2 linked regions of the Astyanax mexicanus genome follow. The protein of the gene in region 2 interacts with the protein of the main gene of each other region in a pairwise test. Links are inferred from orthologs where the notes say so. Each region holds a gene or a part of one and is shown on either strand. Other genes may lie near its edges.

What was found.
Region 1: the proteins of rab4a (region 2) and gripap1 interact in binary tests that used the Homo sapiens proteins (3 or more experiments, as listed by UniProt). The link is inferred for Astyanax mexicanus from reciprocal best matches to the Homo sapiens genes RAB4A and GRIPAP1.

What each region holds. Positions count from the first base shown.
Region 1 is NC_064419.1:3,022,822-3,026,751, forward strand, and holds the start of gripap1 (GRIP1-associated protein 1), read right to left. Parts: upstream 2,904-3,930; 5' UTR 2,857-2,903; coding exon 2,815-2,856; intron 1,167-2,814; coding exon 1,100-1,166; intron 1-1,099. UniProt on the Homo sapiens protein: Regulates the endosomal recycling back to the neuronal plasma membrane, possibly by connecting early and late recycling endosomal domains and promoting segregation of recycling endosomes from early endosomal membranes.
Region 2 is NC_064414.1:38,733,384-38,737,313, reverse strand, and holds the start of rab4a (ras-related protein Rab-4A), read right to left. Parts: upstream 2,895-3,930; 5' UTR 2,762-2,894; coding exon 2,746-2,761; intron 606-2,745; coding exon 525-605; intron 429-524; coding exon 314-428; intron 1-313. UniProt on the Homo sapiens protein: The small GTPases Rab are key regulators of intracellular membrane trafficking, from the formation of transport vesicles to their fusion with membranes.

The sequences.
Region 1 (3,930 bases), on a different chromosome or scaffold from region 2:
GCATTGTCTTTAGGCCACTTATTCCATATTTAATATGCCAGGTAGCGGTCAGCTCTATGCTGCTGTTATTAAAGTAAATACGTTGGAACAGTATCACAGGTGCTGTGTGAGAGTAAACACTGTGTGTAGTGTGATTAGGAGATTAATGTATCAGATCAGCCGGCCTTACACAAAGTGTTAAGTTAAGCACAGCAGATCTAATTCCCTCTATATCTGGAAACAACTTGATGTGAACATGTAAACATATTAGTAGACAAAACCCTAGCCATCAACATATCACTGTTATATTTCAGTATAATACAGTGGAGTGACAATCCTCAAAATTGATGATGGATAATGTCCAAAATAGAGTGATAAAAAAAAAAAAATCTAAAATAAACACAGACTAGTTAGGCTTACACAAATAATAAATAATGGGGGTGCGCAGAATAATTTGGCAGCTAATATCTAAAATATCTAAAAAAAAATTAGAAAAAAATTAACCAAAAAAAAAAAAAAAAAAAAAAAAAACATATAACCTATGCCATACATCTAAAAGCTATATTGATATAATTATTTTAAGTTATATCTTCTAGCATTAGGATTGTTTTTAATAATGGACAGCATGGTTAAGCAGGTGAAACAATTTGTCAATGTTGCGATATGTATCCCATCGATTACTCTGCATCATATTGTGGCATCAAATATCCATATTTTTATTGAAACATCAAATCAAATCACCTAATCAAATGAATAGGGTAAACCTGTGGTGAAGTACACTGATTATCACATCCAGTAAATCCATAATCCCTGGTGTTTGATTATTCCTGGTATTTAAGTATTTTATCCTCTTCAGTAACACAGATGCCGTGAATTATCGTACAAAATTGTCTTTTGTTATACAGAAGCAAAATCACAGTATCATCATCATCATGGTTATTTTGGGCAATGTATCATGATAATACTGTAATGTGAGCTGCACTGTGATTTCCACCCCTACATATACACTCAATGACTTAAGCACCTCTAATGTAGGCAGTCGTGTGTGTGTGTGTCTGTGTGTGTCTGTGTGTGTGTGTGTCTGTGTGTGTAAAGCTCTGTATAATCATTGCTTGTTTACCTGCAGTGTTCTTTCGCAGGTCATCAGACAGCTGGTAGTTCTGGGTCCGCAGCTCTAGCAGCTGAGCCTGTTTTGACAAAAACAAAAGCATCAAAAAGAAAATCACAAACCCATCAGATGGCATGTCATATTGTTTTGGTGTAAAACAGCTCTAGTGATCATTCTGCAGCCCAAGGCACTGATAAACGAATGTAAAACATGTAAAAAAAAAATGATCATACTGAGCACGCATTTACTGTGGCATTGTTTCGATGAGATCTTCTGCAATGTCAAAAGATTTATTTCAATCCAGTGTTGCATTAATTAATTTTTCACCAAGACCTTGCAGCAGCAGCATTGATGATGGTAGAGTCTGACCACGGTACAAAGCAGCTCTTCTCCATCCAGCACATCCCAAAGATTCTCAATGAGGTTAAGATCTGGACTCTGTCATGAACTCACAATCCAATCCATGTGTGAAAATGATAAATGATGATCTCATGCTCCCTGAACCCTGAACTCTTTCACAATTCCAGAACCTAAATCCTGGCATTGTCATCTTTGACATATTTTTGTGCCATCAGGGAAGATAAAATCCATTGATCCAGGAATGACCTGGTCTATATTCAGTATATTCAGGTAGAGTCAGCTGACCTCATTCTTACAGCACATACTGTTGCTGAACCTAAACCTGCAGACTAACTGCAGCATCAACCAACCAACACATCATTTACTTACTTAAATCCAGGTGGAGAATTGTTTTGTTTAAAAAAATTAGTCTATACTAAACAGCTACTTCTGCATGTAGAAGTGTCAGGAGTCATAATTTCAGCATCAGTATCTTCAGTTAGAGACTTCTGACTGCTTATTAAGATTATACAAGCCTTTTTTTATTATGTTAGGTAATGGAAACAATGGGGACAAATAAATTATTAGCCTTGAAGACCATGGACACGAAACTGGATATATCAGGTCAGCAGGCTGAGAAAGCTTACATTTCACCTGAAGTTCCAAGCATCTCTGTGTCAACAAAAATTGAAGCTCCATGCAGAAAAAGAGGCTTGACAGCAGTGTTGCGGAGACGTAGCGTTAAAGTGAAGGAACTGGGGCAGTATTTAAGATATTTGTAATATTTTCTAAACAATTAAAAGCGGATTCTGAGTGTTAAATAAACGAAACAGCTGTTTGTTGTGCTGCTGTTTGGTTAGCTAGGCTAACATAATTAGCTAGGTCTCTAGGCTTGCTAGCTAGTTAGCGTTTGCTAACGTTACAATAAGCTCGAAAATCTGACTTAAACACCTTTATCATGCAATTAAAACCACGGAGTATATAAGATAAGGGGTAAAACATGATATTACGCCACTCTAAAAGTTTATAAACATTTTAATTTTAATATTAGCAACCTAAAAAGCTTGAGTGCTAACCGGTGGGCTGGACTGAACTAAACTAGGCTAAGCTAAGCTAACTAGCGTTAGCTAGCCAGCGCTATAACGTAAACACACAGCAGCAGCAGTCAGCAGACTGTAGCTAGCAAAGCTAAGCTAAGCTAACTAGCTAAAGCTAACATAGCTAGCTACCAAAATACAGGAGGGCCCTGTTGACCAGATTACGCCCCTTTTTCCCCAAAATCCTGCCTAAAATCCAGCGTAAATCCCTTCAGCAGCTCCTCTACATTACAGTTTAAACCCCACAGCCGCTGTTAACCAGCACACAGAGCCACAGAGCCATAAACTCACCTGCATACGGTGGAACTCCTCTTCTGACAGAGCCTGCGCCATCTTCACCCGCAGGAACCAGGAGGAGTTCAGTACCGAGAGAAGCAGGTCCACCGAGAGGGGGTGCAGAGGATCCACACACTCTCACACAGCAGCAGCTTCTTCACTCACACACTCATTTTATTATACGATTTACACAGTTTTACCCTGAACATGCAGCATGTGGGAGGTAAGAAAGCTGAAAAATCTTTTACTGTGCAAGATTGCTCTTGTTTTTGTTTTATAGGTCTTTTATAGGTCTAATTTAACATCAGCCACAGCTCACCTGCCCAGCAGGGGGCGTAGGGGAGACCAGGTGAGGCTGTAACACAGTTTTGTAATTTTTCCAATAAATCAAAAATATTTTATGCTGGAGATTAATTTACACTGACGTATAAAAGCCCATTACCCCCACCTAAAATAATAAAAAATAATAATTAGTAATTATTTTGATAGGCTAAGTCGTTAATTTGAGATAGTAGGTCATTCTTTTGAGATACTAAGTTGTTATTTTGAGGTAGTAAGTCATTATTTTAATATTTTAAAATATTATTTTATTTTGAGATTTTAAGTTGTTATATTGAAATACTATCTCATTATTTTGAGATAGTAAGTCATTATTTTGAGATACTAAATTGTTATTTTGAGATAGTAAGTTATTACTTTAAGATACTAAATTGTTATTTTGAGAAATTAAGTTATTACTTTGAGATAGTAGGTTGTGTTGAGGAACTAAGTAAATATTGTTAAGTTGTTATTTTGAGATACCATATCATTATTTTTAGATAGTAAAATAATAAAAATAATAATTAGTAATTATTTTGATAGGCTAAGTCGTTAATTTGAGATAGTAGGTCATTCTTTTGAGATACTAAGTTGTTATTTTGAGGTAGTAAGTCATTATTTTAATATTTTAAGACATTATTTTGAGATTTTAAGTTGTTATATTGAAATATTATCTCATTATTTTGAGATAGTAAGTCATTATTGTGAGATAATAAATCATTATTTTAAGATAGTATGTAATTATTTTGAGTATGTTGGTCTTTTGAGATACTATATCATTATTTTTAAATAGCAAGTGTGTTTGTTTGTTTT
Region 2 (3,930 bases):
ATTATGCCAAAGGTCAAGTGTATGGTAGAACAAGTAGTTCTGTGTAATGCTGCACACTGCTGAGAGGCCATATGTGCTAAATGCTGAGCACACAGCTTGTTTTTCACTCAAATCTAGGTGGGCAATATTACATAATTAGATTGTGTAGAGACACATCAGTGCTTTACACATTTACCAACTGTATAATCCTATTACAAATGTATTCGATTGTATTATATTTCTGCAAAACAGTTATAGTTTTTATCATATTGCTCAACCCCATTCAAATGTCTAAAATTAACTTCTCAGTTTTGAAAAGAAGTCATGAGCGCACCTGAATCGTTCCTGTCCCGCTGTGTCCCAGATTTGGAGTTTGACAAATTTGTTAACCACATTAATGATCTTCGAGCCGAACTCTACACCAATTGTATGGTTTGAGTCGTCTTTGACTGCAAGAACAAGAAAAAGTATGTTATTTTTTGAAGGGATGCATAGTTTAAAAATACATCTCAATAATATTATATTGTTATTGGTAACATACATACATTTCTTTTCTATGAACTGGTGAAGGAGGCAGGATTTTCCAGTTCCTGCATTCCCAATGACAAGGAACTTGAACAGGAAGTCTGAAGAGAAAATAAGAATGGTAACATTTATTCAGAGCAGTTTTCACAATTTCACTTATTTCATAATTAGTATAAGCATGTGTTTTTTTTTCTTCACCTTACATGCAGATTTTACGATGAAACACGATGTAAACATAACCTCATTATATTTAAGTTAAGACAAATGTAAAATATGTAAATCACTGCAGTATAAAATAGTTATTTACAGGATTCTGACAGAAACAAATGTCTATCTTCTGAGATTCCCTCTGTCAGCTTCTATATGTAAATAAGTACAATCTCAATTATCCCACTTTGACAATTGCATTAAAATAATAATTTGATTAGTCAAATGTATCCTCTATGGTATGAAATATGTTTTAGGAGAGAATTTTTTGTAAGATTGGGAGCATCTGTGGCTTTGGCTACAATTATAAATAAACATTTTGATAACAAACTGATCATTTGAATAAATTGTTTAAAAGCAAGGAAGCCCCCAAACCTGCATAACACTGCCCAAAGACAAATAATGAAAAAAAAAACAACAACACTGTTTTAGTAAGTTTACAACAGAAGATACCTTACTTATTTACATATATACAGCTCTGGAAAAAAAAATAAGAGACCACTTAATGATGATATGTTTTATGATTTTACCAAACTGAAAACCTCTGGAATATAATCAAGAGGAAGATGGATGATCACAGCCATCAAATCAAGCAGAACTGCATAACGTTATCCAAAAGCAGTGTAGGACTGATGGAGAACATGCCAAGATGCATGAAAACTGTGATTAAAAACCAAGGTTATGCCACCAAATTTTAATTTCTGAACTCTAAAAGATTTATGAATATTAACGTTATGAATTATAATCTTTGCATTATTTGAGGTTTGAAAGCTCTGCATTTTGTTATTTCAGCCATTTCTCATTTTCTGCAAATAAATGCTCTAAATGACAATTTTTTTAGGTTTGGGAAACTTAAAATGCTGTAGTTTATAGAATAAATAGAATAAAACAACAATGTTAATTTTACTTAAACATATTAACACATTAAACCAACCATGTAGCTTAAGTTTTCTGTCTGTAATGCACACAAACTAAGACACTATTATCCTAATAAAAAAAGTATACAAATAAATCCAATTAACTTTTTTTTTATTCATAAAAATAAATCAAAAAGTGTTCTAAATCACAAATAATTAGTAATAATGAGCTTGTGTTACTTTGCCTCAATTGTTCTGCAGTGCTGACATGCCCTAATGTCTGAGTTGCTGATTTATTCCCAGTGCAGTGGGCGGGGCTAAACTACTGTTTCATTGGCTGGTTTATGTTATTTTCTAATGCACAACAGGTTTCAAATAGTGCACTGTGAAAAAAACCATTTGACAAAAAAACTACATGATGTCCACTGTAACTGACACAGGGTCTGAAAGGGTTAATTCCTTCCAGCCCTACCACAAACATTAAAACCAAATCTAGCTAAAGACTAACCCAAGAAAAACACAGAAATAGACCTGCATTAAATAGCTAATCCTAGTTTGAATCAGACACTAGCTAGTAAGTTAAACTATCAGTGTATTGTTTATTAACAGGCAGCTAACATTACAGCTACAGCTATAGCTACAGTAGTTTAAGGTTTGGAACAACATCCAGTAACGTTAAATTGACCTAGCAGTTACCATAACTAGCTAACTTATATATCTAACGCTAGCTAACATAGCTAGCTAGGTTAGTTATCAGTTAGCTAGCTAGATAGGTAGCTAATAAATAACGCTAGCAGTTTTGGATAAACTAAGCTAACTAATGATCCAGGCTCGGTTCTACTGCATAGTAACACCAGGCTATCTAATACACACTCCTCTTACAGCACAGCAGCGGTATTCAGGGCGTTCCTGCCCTCTCCTCACGCCCTCCTGCCCCTGTTCACGGTCTGTATTAAATTCCTCCTCTCTCCAGCTAGTAAACAGCCCGGTGTTTATCCGCGGCTGCTCCCCGGCCCTGCCTGCCTGCTACCGATACATCCCCGCGCTTAGCCTGCGATCCTTTACACCACAACAGCAGCAGCAGCGCGGTGGATGAGAGCTGAACACCTGCTATATAAACACAGCCCCGCGGACACAGCCGTGACAGCGGAATAACACACAACCCAGCGCTCCGTACCATATGTCTCCGACATGGCAGACGCTGTGGGAGTCAGGTCTGATATTTATTAGCCTCTGTTGAATCGGAGAGGATATTAAATAACGGGAAATCCCTCAGAGGGATCCGCGCATCCTGTCGGACTTCCCAGGCTGTGAACTTCCTGTAGAGATTTTCACAGTAAAAGCCTGAGAGGCTGCAGATCCGCCGCAGCGGGAGGACCTCACCAGCTAATCCCGGAGCCCTGGAATTAAATTAAATTAAATTACAGCAAAAAAAAAAAAAAAAAGATTCCGTCTTTTTACGGAGCCCGTAAGGTGACATCATGTTAAAAAAGGAATTAATGCGTGGCCACGACTTATTAAGGTGTGGGAATTAGATCTTAATGCATGGGAACGAGATAATTAATGCATTGGAACGAGATAATTAAGTCATAGCCAGATAATAGTAAAACATGCTTTTCTGTAAATTAAAGTAGAACTCTGGTGTAAATTGTGTAGTAAAACATGATAAAAAGGATTAACCTTTGTTGAATAGACCACCTCCCCTCTCCCACAGCTTTCTAAGATACAGTACTTTAAAATATTAATTTAAAAAGATGGCGGTGCCCAGAGATTAGGTTATGCTTCGAGTTGTAAACAGTGTTTTTTAATAAGCTTCTTGTGCACTTTTAAAGTTTCTAAATGTTTTGTTTTAAATGTCAGGGCTCTTCAGATTATTTATGTGCAGGGGCAAAATATGCCCCATATCATCCATTCTAAAGCATGTTTGGACTAACTGCAAACAATTTCTGGATCTCAGACAGCTGCAACTGTTGAATTGGTTTCTTTTTATTTTCATCTTAGAATAAATTATGGTGATTTTTTGGAGTATCTTGCGGTGAGACATGGTATAATTCTAAATAGAAGACACTTAATTCTTATACCAAAAGCTGACGGGCTCAGGCTTAAAACAGTATGCAGACATGTTTACCTTACTTAGTCAGGCATATTGCGCACAACCCCTGACAGCTGCTTGCTTTGTTAGCTGTGAAAACCTTAACAGCCTTAATGGCTACAATTTAATTAACACATTCCCACATCTTAATATGTCATGACCACGCCTTAATTATCTCATTCCCACAAATTATTTTCTCATTCCCACACATTATTAAGTTGTGGCCACAATTATTATTATTTATTTATTTTTTTACAAGATGTCACCGTA